2 linked regions of the Macaca mulatta genome follow. The protein of the gene in region 2 interacts with the protein of the main gene of each other region in a biochemical or structural test. Links are inferred from orthologs where the notes say so. Each region holds a gene or a part of one and is shown on either strand. Other genes may lie near its edges.

Region 1 (3,963 bases), on a different chromosome or scaffold from region 2:
GGCGGGCGCCTGTAGTCCTAGCTACTCAGGAGGCTGAGGCAGGAGAATGGCGTGAACCCAGGAGGCGGAGCTTGCAGTGAGCAGAGATCGCGCCACTGCACTCCAGCCTGGGCAACAGCGTGAGACTCCGTCTCAAAAAAAAAAAAAAAAAAAAAGAAAGTTACTACCTACCCAGTCCCCTCACTGCACAGAAACTGAAGCCAGATGTGTCCACACCTTTCTCCTTCCCATGCTCTGATAGCTCGTCTCTGCTAAGCTCCCCATTGCCCGTGACCCCATGTGGCAGGTTTCCCGCCTGGGGTGCACTCAGAAAATGGTTTATGTAAATAATATTGAAAAGATTGGACCTTCTCCGCAAAGAATGGGGCCGTTGCTTTTTGAAAAACTTCCTGTTGATAGTATCTCCTATGACTACCCCAATCTCTGGCTGTGTGGTTTACAGATCCAGTTGCCTCTGCTCTTGCATCGTGAGAGTCAGCAGAGGCCCAAGAAACCCCGATACTAGTTTGCTGCTGTTGGTGGGTTTTTTGAGACAAGGTCTCAGTCGCCCAAGCTGGAGTGCAGTGGAGTGCAGCCTCAAACTCCTGGGCTCAAGCGATCCTCCTGCCTCAGCCGCCCCAGTAGCTGGGAGTACAGGTGCACGCCACCACGGTGGTTAATTTTTTAAAACATTTTGTAAAGATAGGGTCTCGCTGTGTTGCTCAGGCTGGTCTTGAACTCCTGGCCTCCAGCGATCTTCCCGCCACGGCCTCCCAAGGTGTTGGGGTTACAGGCGTGAGCCACGGGCTCGGTCCCCAGTTCTAGTTACGATTTTGTTGCAGGCGGTGAAAAGTCACGTGGCCTCCAAAGTCCTAGATTTCTGAGGGGCGTCAGCTTGGCAGCCTAATGTAAAGTGATCTCCGACTGGCTACCCACCCTCCGCTTTTTGCTCTTTTCATCCTGGGGGCTAACCGCTAAGACATAGCCTCCAGTTTCCCTCGGGAAGCCTCCGCGGAGGAAGGCACCGGCTAGGGCATCCGGGAAGACCCATCTGGGGAAAGTCTCCCTACGTGCAGTCTGCGGGCTGAAGGGGCCGGAGGAGCCTGCGTACTAGCGTCCCGCTGGCCCTGCTGCGCTGAGAGGAAGGGGCGGGGCGTCGCCAGGTCGTGCCCGCATCCGCCGGACGCCGGAAGTGGCTCTCCGCCCCTGCCACTGGGCCATGGAGACTGTGGCACAGTAGATTGTAGTGTGAGGCTCACGGGGGCAGTGGCCATGGAGGCCGTGCTGAACGAGCTGGTGTCTGTGGAGGACCTGCTGGTGAGGCCTGGCCCGGACAGAGGGAAAGGGAAGGTCGGAGGGCGGGTCCTGAGGAGAGTCAGGTATGGGCCGAACCCTCCTCCCGGCATCGGCTTGGCGGAGGGAAGCCGAACTACGGCTCCCGGCAGCCTCCACAGTGTCTGGCTCCTGCCCGGAGGGCCCGCTATGCCGCAGAGGCTCCTGGGAGTTGTAGTGTCCTGAGCCCCCACACCTCAGAGTACGGGCCTGTTGCCCGACAGTGGTTAGACTGACGGGTTCTGGGATTATGCAGGAGCTGTGAGCTCAGGGCGCTCCTCCAGCGGTGGAGGAATACAGTGACCATCAGAAGGCGTCACCTATTACTGCGTCCGGCGCGGTGCTAAGGCATCGCATGCCAGATCTCAGTCCTTGTAGCTCTAGGAGGTAGGCACTACTTCTATTCCTGGACAGTAAAAGGTCCAGGCCCGGCAGGGTGGGGCAGGATGGGGCCAGCAGGCTCAAATGAGGACCGCGTGGGCTGTTGTTGAGCAGTTCTGACAGTGTGTTTACTGTTTGGCCGCCGGGGTCAGCTGCTCCGGGAGCGGTGCCTGGAGCTGCCACCAGGTGGCATCTCCGCTCGGTACCGCCGGGGGGAGGGGAGACCAGGGGCATCTGTCCCAAGAGCTGGCCCACAGGCCAGGAGGAGCCGAAAGCCTGGGTCCCGTGCATGGAGATAGCAGACGCTGGGGTGCCAGATACCGAGACCCACGAGGGAAAGGAGGCAGAGCCAGGGATATGGGGTGTGACTGACACCATGTCCAGATAGAGAATGGTTGACGCCCTTCATTTCTAAATGATTCCTTTCTTCCCCTGTGGCAGAAATTTGAAAAGAAATTTCAGTCTGAGAAGGCAGCAGGCTCGGTGTCCAAGAGCACGCAGTTTGAGTACGCCTGGTGCCTGGTGCGGAGCAAGTACAATGATGACATCCGTAAAGGCATCGTGCTGCTCGAGGGTGAGGCGCTGTACTCTCCCCTTCCCGCTGCCATCTGGGCTGCTGTACGATGTGGGCCCCCGTAGTCCAGGCACCTCTCAGTTGTCTCCCGTAGATTTACTGCACCAAGGGCTATACTTAGCTTGACGTCTCCCAGTGAACTTTTGGCTACTTACCGCCCACCATTGTTTTGCCAGACGGAGTCGTAGCTTGTCATTTCCCCCAGGACTATCTTGATCTGGGAAAGTGACTTGAGGTCACGCAACTAATAAGTTCATGGCTGAATTGGGACTAGAAGCTCCCGTTTTGTGAGACCTAGGCCCATGCCCTTCCCCCCAACACCACCACCGTGTTGCTTAGTTAGCAGCTATTGAGAATCTTTTGTGGCATGGAAGAGGTCCAGAGGACTGTCCTACAAAATTGTGAGCACATAGTGCTTTTTGTTTTTTTTGTTTGAGACGGAGTCTTGCTCTGTCCTCCAGGCTGGAGTACAGTGGTGCTGTCTCAGCTCACTGCAGCCGCCCCCTCCCGGTTCAAGCAATTCTCCTGCCTCAACAACAGGCGCCCACTACCATGCCCGGCTAATTTTTGTATTTTTAGTAGGAACAGGGTTTCACCTTGTTGGTCAGGCTGGTCTCGAACTCCTGACCTCAGGTGATCTGCCCACCTCGGCCTCCCAAAGTGTTGGGATTACAGGTGTGAGACACCGCGTCCAGCCAGATAGTGCTTTTTGGATTGGACCCCTATTTCCCATTGGTTTTGTGTGGGTCATCATTTGTCAGAGACCACAATACTTAACCACTTAATTTCTCTGTACCTCCTTTCTTTTGTTCAAGTAATCATTTATAAGCACACAGTCAGTGTACAGCCATCCCTCTGTAGCCATGGGGGATTGGTTCTAGGAACCCTGCCCCACAAATACCAATAGCCATCCAAGTCCCTTATATAAAATGGTGTGGTATTTACATGTAACCTGTGCACCTTCTCCTACATACTTTCAATCATCTGTAGATTACTTATAATACCAAATACAATGTAAATGCTGTGTAAATAGTATACTGTATTGTTTAGGGAATAATGGCAAAAAAAAAAAAGATCTGTTCATGTTCAGTACATATGCAACTATCTTTTTTTTTTTCCCTGAGTATCTTTGATCCATGTTCGTTGAATCCATGAATACAGAATGCCAACTGTGCTAGCAAAGGATGCCTATTGAAAATCTATAAAAATGGCCAGGCGCAGTGACTCACACCTGTAATCCCAGCACTTTGGGAGGCCAAGGCAGGCCGATCACGAGGTCAGGAGTTCAAGACCAGCCTGATCAACATGGTGAAACCGTCTCTACTAAAAATACGAAAATTAGCTGGGCGCGCACCTGTAATCCCAGCTACTCAGGAGGCTGAGGCAGGAGAATCACTTGAACTCGGGAGACAGGTTGCAGTGAGCCAAGATCACGCCATTGCACTCCAGCCTGGGCAACAGAACGAGACTCCGTCTCAAAGGAAAAAAAAAATCTATAAAATATTCTTTCTTAAAAGATACAAATAATTTTACCCTATGTTTGTCTACTTTGGCAATTCAGATTTTCAGGTTTATTCTACAGCAGGGTGTAGCTGTAGAAGAAACAGCCTCTCTAAGTGATTATCAACAAATTCTAGTGCATAGAGTACAGTTATCCTCTGGGAAGTCTCTGAATTAAGAAAGTTAGGTGGGGCCAG
Region 2 (3,221 bases):
TCAGGCCCACAGTGTAAAACACTAGGAACTATTATTTCTACCACAAGCTACAGGTTTAAAAAGTCTACAAGCAAAAAAGATAAATGGTTCTACAGACAAAATCATTTATTTCAATATGAAGTATATTTATTACTCTGTGCAGTAAAATTCATCTTAGCTGCTGACAGATTACCAAAAACTGGATACAGAATATTTTCTAATAGATCACTTCATACAACTAAATGTGTATTCTCCCTATTACTGCATGAAATGACATACCAGGCAACATGAAGGAGAAGATGCAGTAGGGGAGTAGACACATGCAAAAACATTCTGAACGAGAAACCGTATACATATTTCTTAGTAAAAGACACTCGTTTTGATGCTTTGGAAAACCAAGTTAAATTAAAAAGGCAAGTCAGTGTTACTAGCCAAAATAGTTAATGAAACTACTGAATTAAAATTTAGGAAAAAAACATTTTCTTAAATGACTCAAAATGTGGCAGCCATATAGAACAAAAGATTCATTTTAATAGCTTTTTCTAGCTGATACATGAGGTCCTAGTCATTCTGTGTTAACAAACTGAGTCTTGCTACAAGTTACCAAAGGACTATCAGAGAATCCACTCGATGATTTAGAATAAAAACCTAAAATTTAAAAAATACATGTATTTTTCAAAACAGATCATAGAATCATCCAGCAGTATTAGAGCCTGTGATTTATATTAAGTAATACTAACCTGTCTTGAATATTCTTTCTGACAATAAGAAAATATGATTTAATGAGTCGTTCAATAACCTCACAATCTCGCTGTTCCCGAGCGGATAGTTTCCGTGCAACAGGAACTGGCTAAATAGGGATGAGGGGGGAAAAATGTTACTTTTGTGACACTTTGAAATGGCAGCATTTAACATCTGAAAGTTATGTAAGTTTTTGAGACTTTAGTTCTTTCTGTCTAATCAATTTCCTACTAACTTGGTCATCTTATTAGACCTAAACCAAAGTGTCATGGCTTACCACATCCAGCAGATTCACAGCATGACCTTTTTGTGGACTGGCTGGCATAATTGGAATGGGTTTTGATTTTTCTTCTGCTAATAACTCTTCAGCTTTTGAAGTCTTCAGCATTCCTCTCCAATTGCCTGTTGTTGGTTCTTGAACACCATCTCCAACCCCACCACCTCCAGATGCAACCTGAAAAAACATGTTCCAAAACCTATACCAACCACATCATATCTGACCTTAACTAAAACGAAGTTCATTTTATTTGACAGTAGTCAATATACATCCAGTACCCATCTAAAGTTTATTCATACAGATAATGAGGTCAGAAGGAGACAGTAGGTAGCATGTATAACTGAAACCCTGACCTAGCTAAATAAGAGGTTCTGCTGTAAATTGTTTGCAAGGCATCAACCAATTTATGTTCTATTTAATTCCTTTTTTCTTTATCATTCGCTCGCCAACTTTTCAAAATCATTCCTCTTCTCCCACCCTTCAAACACTAAATTGTAGAAAAAGTATATGCTGCCCTTAAAATCAAAACTACTCGTTAAAAGCACAAAGAACTGCCATTCAGTTTAATTTAAGTAATCATAAACACTGTTAAACTCTAAAAGTTCCATGAACTTATGTCTCTGAAGTTAAGAGTTTATGTATTTCAAGTCAATTTACATTCCTATAGTCAACAAAATGCCATAAGGTATCAGTAGGAACTCTTTAACAAAAAGCAAGACTACATTTGCTTTTCGTAGGCTGACAGTCACTATGAGTTCTTTCAAATGTGGAATGTGATAAACACAACAGAAATCCCCTCAACCTCTGTACTCTTAAGGATTTGCAGAAAGAAATCTAGTGCTATCACATTAATCACAAGTGCTTTTACACCTTATTTTCTAGAAAATTTATTAATCTTGACTTCTAAAAGTCAAAAATGACTTTATAATGGAAAAACATAATTCATCAACATTTAAGAGGGTTTTTTTTTTTTAGTTATTCTTTAAGACCTTACAATCTAAAAATGGATTATATAAATTTAATAGAGGATTATGGCAGTAAGAAAAATGGTAGTTTGGGGTAGCATTCTGAATCGAAATACTTGCTTAAATCTGTCTTTAATATGTCAGTTAAGGTGAACTATAAATATTAGTATATTTATATTACACATTAACTTAAAAATGAGTAATTAGGTTTTTATACATGAATGACATACCAAATGAAATCTTAAGGAGAGTGAGCACATTCAGTGTGATGTCATGAATGAAATAAAACTTGTGCAGTGATTTAGATGGTTTGCTTAATATCTGAGCACAGTGGAGCTGAGAGAAGATAAGACATTTATAAACCTTTATCTCAAGTTCAGAACTTTAAATCTGGATAATTAAGGAAAGGAGCTAAATGGCAGAAAATCTTGAAATAGCAATGAGTCTGAATAATTTATACATTATTTAATTTTCCTCTAAAATGGTTATTAAGAATTGAAAACAGTCTCAAACTCTCACAGTCCCCCTGTTTGTTTTTAATTTGCTTAAGCTTCTGAAGCATATGTGAAGCTATATATAGGGTAACAAGTGCAAACTAACTGGAAGCATGAGAAAGAAGCATTAGATTAGAGGATTATCTATTAGTACTGAACAGATCTCAAGATCTTTAAAGAGGAAAGGAAATGTCCAAAAATACAATTCCATCTCTGAAATCTAGGAAATCTCTGAATTTCCTATCAAAATATGTTAAATTTCCTATCAAAATTTAAAACTATTCTTGAAGGTCACAGAAAACAGTGAGAAAGCCTATTATTGTTACTAATTAAAACGTTTAACGCCATCTTCCACCGGTTAGATAAAAGGAACATTAAGAACATAACACAGACAAGAGATAGATACCACTACACAAACAGGTTATTTAATGGTGTTACAGACAGTGTTTCAGTGAGAACCAGAGGTACCAACATTTCCATTCTGAAGCAAGAGACTCACATTTTTAGTTTCTCTTCTGCTGTCCTGAATTAACTGTTGAAAGATATGTTAAAACATGCAATTTAACAAGCAAAATTTAAATACCAATGGGTTGAAATTTTAAAAGTGCAGGATAATTTCCTCTTTAAATTACTTCTTTTTCTGTGTGCATCTTCTATATTGCAAGCAAAAGCATGTCAACAATATAAACTCTGCATTGCATTGTTATATAATTTTAAAATATATATTAGACTAAAGTGATCTGACCTTAGCATGGTATCCCATAT

Evidence for each region.
Region 1: the proteins of DNM1L (region 2) and FIS1 form a complex in vitro, tested with the Homo sapiens proteins (2 studies listed by BioGRID). The link is inferred for Macaca mulatta from reciprocal best matches to the Homo sapiens genes DNM1L and FIS1.

The regions. Positions count from the first base shown.
Region 1 is NC_133408.1:48,509,828-48,513,790, reverse strand, and holds the start of FIS1 (mitochondrial fission 1 protein), read left to right. Parts: upstream 1-1,157; 5' UTR 1,158-1,251; coding exon 1,252-1,296; intron 1,297-2,133; coding exon 2,134-2,266; coding exon of another isoform or gene 2,267-2,310; intron 2,311-3,963. UniProt on the Homo sapiens protein: Involved in the fragmentation of the mitochondrial network and its perinuclear clustering. Plays a minor role in the recruitment and association of the fission mediator dynamin-related protein 1 (DNM1L) to the mitochondrial surface and mitochondrial fission.
Region 2 is NC_133416.1:34,936,642-34,939,862, reverse strand, and holds part of DNM1L (dynamin-1-like protein), read right to left. Parts: intron 2,989-3,221; coding exon 2,956-2,988; intron 1,175-2,955; coding exon 998-1,174; intron 830-997; coding exon 720-829; intron 1-719. UniProt on the Homo sapiens protein: Functions in mitochondrial and peroxisomal division.